Linked DNA regions of Daphnia pulex. The protein of the gene in region 2 interacts with the protein of the main gene of each other region in a pairwise test. Links are inferred from orthologs where the notes say so. Each region holds a gene or a part of one and is shown on either strand. Other genes may lie near its edges.

Region 1 (4,670 bases), on a different chromosome or scaffold from region 2:
ACTATGGCGCTTAATATGTCCAGATTACTTCTTATAGGACTAGTTATGTCTCTGTGCCATTTTTTCATTACCGAATCGGGTTTGATCGTACGGGAAGTTGAAAGACTTTTTCCATATCCTTTTAAAATTTGAACTATAGCTGATGGATTTGAATTTAAAAAAAGAACATGATTTAAAATTACAACGATACTTCCTCTCTCAGTGAAAAAAAAAAGTATCGTGGTAATCCTGTTGTTCTAATGCGGTAGCCCAGACGCTATGTATAACGTAGCTTAAAACTTGGATAAAAACCACATCAGTAAAATCATTCGAAACGAGTAATTTCATCTTATTCATACACAAATAGATAGAAATTACTTGTCGTGGCCCTTTTCTGTTGTTCATCGAGTAGTCTACTTTATCTGGCTACTCGATGAACTACAGAATGTAGACTGGCAATGTGTGTGTGCATCGCAAGTCATTTATAGGGAAAAGCAAGGTCATACAAATGAAAAAGATGTATGGTTAAGGTCAAAGGAAAGACCGCAAGATTTCGATATTAAGGTCCTCTTTGCGCCTCCTACCAGAAGTTAGGCTGGGAACCAGAAGACAAGAACTAACTATTCGTCCTCCGAGGTTTAGTTTGACGAATGCATAGACAGAAGGTCAGAAAATGGTCATTGACCTTGCATTTTCAATGGGAATATTTAGATCTTGGGATCCAGCTTGTTCCCTAAAGAGCACAGATCAAAATATCGTCACTGTGACGATACTTAAGTTTTTGCAGTAAGAACTAATATGGAAAAGTATACTTGTGGAAAAATTTGTAATTTGTAAAAGTTATTCAAAAAGGCAGTTGCTTGTTAGTTGTTATTAAACTTTCTTTTTGAATAAAATTACCTCAACTTTATCAAAATATTTAGCCTAGTGCTTGAATGATGTTCCCTTATGCTGGCGGAGACGTTAACTAATAACTATATGGTATGGCGGGTATAGGCGAATGGCCGGAAGAGACGTTAATGTGGAAGTGTCTTTAAGTAGGAAGTCGGGATAAGATGGGACCCGGCATCGACCGGCATATAGAGGGTGTAATAATCGCCATTCCAGCGATGCAGTCATGAAGCCATATTATATTTTAATTCTATATAGTCGTGTTTGCGTCGTTGTGATTATCCGCTAGTATCACTAGCACTGTGTACTTTTCTTCGATTTTTGTTTTACATGGAGTCGGGAAATTTCTCCGGCTAAAATAATCCTAGTGGATTTTATATTTAATTTTCGAAGTATCGTGTGAACTGTCCAACTCTTTAAAATTAATTTTCATATGGAGTAATAATTAAACATATTTAAAACAATTTATTTGACTTTTTGTCTTGTTAAAGCCGACATCCAAAGTTTGAGAGTCGCCATGAGAGTGATGTCAAAAACAAGACGGACGAGCATAAAATCTGTACTAAAATAAGCACAATCATGGTTTATTTTTAGCTGTTGACGCATTCCACCACATCAGACAAGTATGCACCAATAGAGTGCGCTTTTGAGAAAATGAAATACATTTTTAAAATTATAATCATAAATACTTGTGAACTCTACTGTTTGATAATAAGTATGGAAAAATCATTGTTTTATTTCAATCACCCAACATTTTAAACATATTTTGCGATAAGGATATGAAGTAATCAACGCAAGTCATCTCTGCGCAAGTCAGCTCTCTCCCCCCCTCATTTCTGTAGCCTTCGGCCATTTTGTTGTAGGTGTGGTTACAAGCAGTTGTCTGCAGTTGAAGTTGTGAACGAACGCTTCTAACAGTGTTATTCTTGACCGGGGAACGCCAAAAAAGTGTATTAGGAATACTAAACTTTAACTGAAGGTGAGTTTGAAGTAATAAGTAAGAAGTTGTGTATCATCTGAATTGAATCCCGAAGTTGTAGAACTCTATTTTCACTAAAAACAGCTGCATTTACATGCCCACAGTAACAACAATTACTCGGGCTGGCGTTTTGTTTGATCGTTCCCTGCCCCACCCATACCACAACCGGATATGTTATTTTAAAAGATGTTCGTTAATTTAAATTCTCAAGGCTCAAGGAATTTCATATGAACAATTTGAATTGATAAAAGTACTGCTTTTTTTTCCTTTTGATTTAAACTTATCTTATCTGAATAGCTGTGGAGATAACCAAAGTGTCTTGTGCTAGTTCTTATCACTTTCACATATGACAGTGCTACAATGTAATTATTATTTTTTATTTCAGAAAGTCTACCAGCAACATGGAGCAGACCATAGCTCCGAAAGAAGTGAGGATTCTTGAGACAGCTGAAGATATCCAAGAGAGACGAGATCAAGTCTTGTCTCGCTACTCTCAATTTAAATCAGATGCTAGAGCCAAGCGTGACAAGTTGGAAGACTCTCGTCGTTTCCAATACTTCAAGCGAGATGCTGATGAATTGGAATCTTGGATTTTTGAGAAGCTTCAAGCTGCCTCAGATGAAAGTTACAGGGATCCTACCAATCTTCAAGCCAAAATTCAGAAACATCAAGCATTTGAGGCTGAGGTTGCTGCACACAGCAATGCTATTGTCAGTCTTGACAATATTGGACTTGAAATGATAAATGAAGGCCATTTTTCAGCGGACGTAATTCAAAAACGTTTGGAAGAGCTTCATCGTTTATGGGAATTGCTTCTATCCCGTCTGGCTGACAAGGGCATGAAATTGCAACAAGCTCTCGTCCTGGTGCAGTTTTTGCGTCAGTGTGATGAAGTTATGTTCTGGATTAATGACAAGGTTCGCTCATTACTCTAGTTTTCGTTAAGAATTTAGATTTGATAAATGTTTCTTTTTTAGGAGGCTTTTGTTTCATCTGATGAGTTTGGGTCAGATTTAGAGCACGTTGAAGTATTGCAACGTAAATTTGACGAATTCCAGAAAGATATGGCAGCGCAAGAATTTAGAGTTACCGAGGTCTTGGAACTTGCTGATCGTTTGGTCAAAGACGGCCATCCCGAAGTTGATACTATTAACCGTCGCAAGGAGGTATTTAAAATCACTTACTTGTTTAATGAATTCAAATTAATCGAATCTTTATTCTGTTTATTTACAGGAACTTAAAGAATCGTGGCAGCGATTGAGACTTTTGGCATTGAATCGTCAAGAAAAACTTTTTGGCGCTCACGAAATCCAGCGTTTTAATCGTGATGCTGATGAAACAGTTGCCTGGATCACCGAAAAAGATGTCGTATTGTCATCGGACGATTTCGGTCGCGATTTAGCTAGTGTTCAGACACTGCAGCGGAAGCATGAGGGTGTTGAGCGTGATCTAGCAGCTTTGGAAGATAAAGTGATGACTTTAGGCCAAGAAGCTGCTCGTTTATGCGGCATTCATCCCGATCATGCAGATCAAATCAAAGCCAAGCATCAAGAGATTGAAAACAATTGGGAGAGGTTAACTGGTAAAGCTAAGGTAATCTAAACATGCGCCAAATTGCTTCAATATGACTACTATATTGAGTTTGATCCTTTTATAAATAGGAACGCAAACGTCGTTTGGATGATTCTTACTTCCTGCACCGCTTCTTGTCAGACTTCCGTGACTTAGTCTCATGGATTCATGACATGAAAGCCATTATCGCTGCTGATGAATTAGCTAAAGATGTTGCAGGCGCTGAGGCCTTGCTGGAACGTCATCAAGAACATAGGGTATGGTTTATTTTGTTCGTCAGTAAAGTTGCATAGCCATCAAGTTTATTTTACAATTGTTTGAGTAGGGCGAAATTGATGCAAGGGAAGATAGCTTCCGAGCTACAGCTGACGCTGGCCAGGTCTTAGTAGAAAAAGAACATTGGGCTGCGTCGGAAGTCAACGAAAAGCTGATTACCTTGTCCAACGAGAAACAAAATTTGTTGACTTTATGGGAAGAGCGACGGATTTTGTACGAACAGTGCATGGATCTTCAACTTTTTTATCGGTAAGCTCTACCAAAAGATACCTTTTTTATGCTTCTATTCCAATTTCCCTTTAATTTAAAGCGATACGGAGCAAGCTGATACTTGGATGGCTAAACAAGAGGCTTTCCTGTCGAACGAAGATTTGGGTGATTCTCTAGATTCTGTCGAAGCGCTAATCAAGAAACACGAAGACTTTGAGAAATCATTGGCGGCGCAAGAAGAGAAAATTAAAGCTTTGGACGAATTTGCTTCAAAACTGATCGAAGGTATTTTCAAGATTTGAATAATTTATAACATCAGCATGGTTGCTTATAATTTTCCATTAACAGGCCAACATTATGCTGCTGAGGACGTTGCCCAGCGTCGTGCGCTTTTATTAGATCGCCGCGGAGCTTTGCTTGAAAAGTCCAGCCAACGTCGCGTATTGCTAGAGGATTCTTTCCGTTTGCAGCAATTTGAAAGAGATTGTGATGAAACCAAAGGCTGGATTAACGAGAAACTGAAATTTGCCACTGATGACAGCTACCTAGACCCTACTAACTTGAACGGCAAAGTCCAGAAACACCAGACTTTTGAGCAAGAATTGACTGCAAACAAGAGTCGCATTGAAGAACTTGATGCTGTGGGTCGAGAATTGATTGAAGGCAATCATTGGGCAACTGATAGGATTCATGCTCGTCTGGAAGAAATTGTTCGTTTGTGGGAAACCCTTCTAGCTGCCACCGAACGCAAGGGAACTAGACT
Region 2 (4,581 bases):
TGAATTCTTGAAAATATTTTCAATTATCACAGAAAATTCCTAGAAATGAAATAAAAGGATGCCGTGGGGAATTCAAAATAAATTCAAAATACAACTAACTTACAAATTTTTAATTTTGTTACTTTACCTCGAAATTAGAAATGAAAGGAAGAATCCCACATTTGGATTTCCTAGGCTGTTTTGAATCTTCAATCGAGCGAAGCTGAGTCATAAAAAACCGATCGAATGCTCGCTTCACGTGCACCAAAGATGAACCAAATGTAACACTGAGGAAGGAACCGGTATCGGTTGCAGACAAGACATGCTGACTAAGTCTCACGAGGACGTACAAAGGTGAGCTAGAAATAATAATAGCGATTAAAAAAAAAGCATTCCAATTTAAAAAGTACAGTATTCTAAATCACTTACAAGCTATCTACTTTCTCATAAGTAGCAAGAAAGCTCACAAGCTCCGGTTCAAGAACAGTAAACAAAACGCTCATCATTTTGCGCACTTCTTCGTTAATGGCTCGTTCTGGGGTTTTGTTACTTGTTGATGATTCATCCGCTTCATGGCCTCCTTGATCCAGTGCAAAAAATGCGACACAAAATTCTTGTTCCACTAGACATACTGGTTCAAGTTCGGCTAGTGCGCATTCAAGCAAGTCTTCTAGGCGTTTTCTTTCATGAATATCAACTTCAACCTGTAATAAACATATTTATCAATACATTTTACACATTTAAAATTTCGTATAGTATATTGTACCGTCCAAAGCTCTCTTTCATTCCCTAACAAATTTTGACTCGGCATTTGTATTGTTCCACTAGGGCTTGCCGCGGCGACATTTGTTCCTGAAGGATTTTTAATAGACAAGGAATGCCTGGTGCCCATGTCTGAACCCGAATCACTTCCACGAACTGCGGTAAACATGTTATAACCAGAAATCACTAAAGGTGGATTCAAATAAAAAATTGCTTCTCCTTACGTTTTTTCTCTCGCAATCCTATCACTTTCGAACGCGCTTCATCAAAGAACTGCCGTAGATCTCTTTCATACAATTTACATATTGATGTAGTGTATACTTCGAGTAGTTTCTCATAGCAGGCATGGTCTGTTGCTTTTAGCCAATGCATTAAGGGAGCATACATTTGTAGTTGAGAATGCAGTTTCCCGTGTTTAGCCAGTGACACTGTTGTTTGCGAAGAGTTTGAACTTCTAGAGCTTTGACTACTGGTTTCTCCAGAATCATTGCTCTAAAAAGAAAACCAAAAAATATTATTGAAGGGAAAAAAAAGCGTAAGTATAAACTGATTTTATTACTAAGTGAATGAAGAGGTTGTTGAGTTGGCGAGTAACTGTGGGTGTAAATTTTGCTCGCCATTTCTCCAACTGCCGTCGCTGATCTTGAACCGCAACCATTTTCTCAAGTCCTTAAGAGTGACGATTAGAGAAATGAGAATAGAATTATTTTATTTTGGTTTCGAAAAATGCAAGTACCTGGTTTTAGTTCAGCATTCATAGCACGTTGAAGAGATTTAGCAGCTATTATAGCGTTTTGAAGGCCTGTAGGACTATTTAAGTCTGGATTGTTCAAAGTTACTTGCTGGGAATGTGGAATATCTAAATGTGCCTGTACCACAAACACATTGATTGTAGATGCGGATAAACGAGGATTGAAAACGGCAGCCTTACGACTAAATTATTGAGTTCCATAAGTAGAAGACGATTGTTACGGTTGGCAGTTTCCAGGGACACATTCTTTTCACCTACTGTTGCCATTGCAACCCGGGCTTGGAGTAGAATGTTTTCATACTTGTCTAACTCGGTTTCAATGGATGCAGCTTCATTTTCGGCTGCTTCGAGAAGGTTCAACAATTGTATGACTTGAGCTTCAGAGCCCATCAAGCTTTGAATATTTGCCTATAGTAGAAATCAGTTCAGTTATGATATTTCAAATGATAGATTTTTATTGCATAAAATACTCCATCAAGTAAAGACAAGTCCTTAGCCAGTTGCTCCATAAACTTTTCTGCATTACTCAAGGCATTATTGGACTGAGATAATAATCGTTCCAGGTCTTTCTCTTCTCTGTCTGTAAGGGCTTGATAATCCTCCTCACCAATGCCTCCATCCATTGGACCACTGACTAGTTTGAATCAAACAGGTGAACAACTTATAAAATGCTTCACAAGTTTCAATTTGATACCTTCATGATCTAATGCTACGGATGTTTCTGGTATCACTGAATCTTCTATGATGCCTGGAGGGATATTAACAAACATTGGACTTTGTTTCGGCAAATACTTTGAACAAAGTTTCCATAAAATGGAAAACAAAAGAAGCCTTTCTTGAACATTAGATGCAGACCAAAGGTATACTTTGTCAAAATGAATGCTGAATTCAGCTGTTTCCTACAAAATAAAAAATTACAATTGTTTTAAGAAGATGACACAACTCTTTGAGGGTCTGCATGGGCAAACCAGACAAATATGAAAACAATTTCTTTATACCTTGTTGCCATCAATACCATCCACAGTTTTGAGCTCTTTCAATGGCCAGCTACTCTTCTTCTTGTAAACATTGTTTTTCTCAGTTTTCTTTACCTGTTTATTGAAAATAATGACAGAATAAAGAACATAATTTGGTGCATGGGAAAATTGAAGTAAGTATACCTTGTATATTACGGCACCGATGCCTTGATCTGCAGTAACTGCAACGCACAAAAAACAAGGAAGTGCCTTCTTTTTCTTGCCAACACTAGTCACATGAGCCAATCCAACTAATCTTTCTTCAGCAGGCGAAAATAATTCTCGCTGCAAACTGTGCCTTAGCGCAGCCATTTTATTAAACGAAGAAGTAACGAGAAAATGTCAATCAATCGTCAATCAATCGGCTAACAATTAGATTCAATAACAATAACGTTGAATCGCCAGCAGGTTGCATACACTATATTATGTCTGCTGTGTTTCGTGACAACTGACAATATTGCAGACGAAGCTGTCCCACCCACCATCTGATGGTGCTGTCCTCTAACAGTGATACGGAGAACTTATGAAGTCAAAGGGTTATTTTTTAAAAAACGCGGAAACTCGCGCGTGCAGCAAACGATCGGATTATTTATTCATAATTTTAATGGGAGGAAGGGGTGGACTATCAGACCGAGGGGCGTGTACAGCAGATCTGGTGACCATAATTATTAATCTCGAATTTTCACTGAGAACTACTCTTGAAATATAACATTATAACATTTATCTTAAACTTGATTTTCTAGATTTTCATTTGTCTCATTTGTTCATTTGTTTTCCTTAACGCTCAACGTGTCGAAAATTTCATTTTGGATATTTTAGCTCAACCGTATTTCTTAAAAAATTCACAAAAGTGTTACAGTACAACAATATGTATTTATATCAGATGCACATAATCATTCAGATTCATGAATTTTTTGTTTTGCATACCGAGATTATTATATACGATAAAGATGTGAATATTATGACACTTGACGCACACAAAAGTTAGGCCCGCCATGTTCAAATAACACACGCACATTTGAAAAAGGAGAATTTTGGCATGTAGAGTCATCAAATCGCACACTCTTCAGAAATAACATATTGCAACAAATGATGCCAATAGAGAAGAGTCCCAAATAAATCTGGCGGTGTGATGTCGACGCATCGCTTCGGTCAAGAAATATCAGAATAATATATGTACACGAAGGAATAACAGAAAAAAAACGTTACAACTCTAAACACAATTCTTAAAGTACAAAAGAAAACAGGATCCAATGTCAGTAGTGATTTCAATATATCTCTTTTACTGGTGGGTGTGTTTGTAATATATAGAAATGGACAGGGAAGGAAAGTAAAAAAAAAGATGAATAAACCATCAAATATGTCGAAGAATGTTTCTACTCGGATTCCATCTCGATATTTGATTATCACATGAGACGGTGATGACTACGCTTCATTTTTCGGCTCGAGCAGTTTTTTGTTTTTCTTTTCCTGGTGACGTAAAAATACAGCGCAAATGATTCCGTCAAAGATTACAAATTAGAATGACAGAGCACCGTAATCATAATCAGATTTTTTTGTTATTTTTGTTATTTTTTTTTTTTTACAAAGCACAATATTTTTTAGTTTCGAAGTACGATCATGGGTTTGGTGGATTAATTATAAAACCCTGTTTTTTTTTCAGTGTTGCCCCCGTCTTTGTTGGCGTGACGACAAGCGATGGCTCTTGCGCCGTTTTCGCTTGGTGTCGTCTCTCCGGAAAATAATGTTGCTGGCATCATCGGCCAATTGCGGGTAGTCGTAGATGCTGTGCAAATCCGAGCCGACAAAGCCGTCGACTCTTCCGTTGGTCATCAGCTCCACCCTTTCTTCAACGCTCCAGTCCACCTGCTGGCCGGGCAATCCGCTTTCCACCAACTGTTTCTCGCGCAGCCAAGCGACTTCAACCGCTCGCCGATGAGACGACCGGAGTATTCGCTGTCTAGCCGCTTCCACTTCGACACCGTAGCTGATGCTGACGGATAGATCCGCATTGGCCAATCGCAATTCAGACCCGCCTCCTTGTTCCGTCGGGTTTTCAACGAGCGTGATGTT

Evidence for each region.
Region 1: the proteins of exocyst complex component 1-like (region 2) and spectrin alpha chain-like interact in a two-hybrid assay, tested with the Homo sapiens proteins (2 studies listed by BioGRID and IntAct). The link is inferred for Daphnia pulex from reciprocal best matches to the Homo sapiens genes EXOC1 and SPTAN1.

The regions. Positions count from the first base shown.
Region 1 is NC_060017.1:5,642,473-5,647,142, reverse strand, and holds the start of spectrin alpha chain-like, read left to right. Parts: upstream 1-1,700; 5' UTR 1,701-1,849; intron 1,850-2,234; 5' UTR 2,235-2,250; coding exon 2,251-2,766; intron 2,767-2,826; coding exon 2,827-3,015; intron 3,016-3,082; coding exon 3,083-3,442; intron 3,443-3,510; coding exon 3,511-3,678; intron 3,679-3,746; coding exon 3,747-3,946; intron 3,947-4,007; coding exon 4,008-4,192; intron 4,193-4,255; coding exon 4,256-4,670. UniProt on the Homo sapiens protein: Fodrin, which seems to be involved in secretion, interacts with calmodulin in a calcium-dependent manner and is thus candidate for the calcium-dependent movement of the cytoskeleton at the membrane.
Region 2 is NC_060019.1:8,326,675-8,331,255, forward strand, and holds the start of exocyst complex component 1-like, read right to left. Parts: upstream 3,007-4,581; 5' UTR 2,821-3,006; coding exon 2,653-2,820; intron 2,584-2,652; coding exon 2,491-2,583; intron 2,392-2,490; coding exon 2,187-2,391; intron 2,127-2,186; coding exon 1,963-2,126; intron 1,901-1,962; coding exon 1,673-1,900; intron 1,611-1,672; coding exon 1,478-1,610; intron 1,411-1,477; coding exon 1,301-1,410; intron 1,234-1,300; coding exon 966-1,233; intron 898-965; coding exon 746-897; intron 684-745; coding exon 409-683; intron 339-408; coding exon 128-338; intron 40-127; coding exon 1-39. Other genes in the region: teneurin-m-like, read right to left, coding at 4,168-4,581.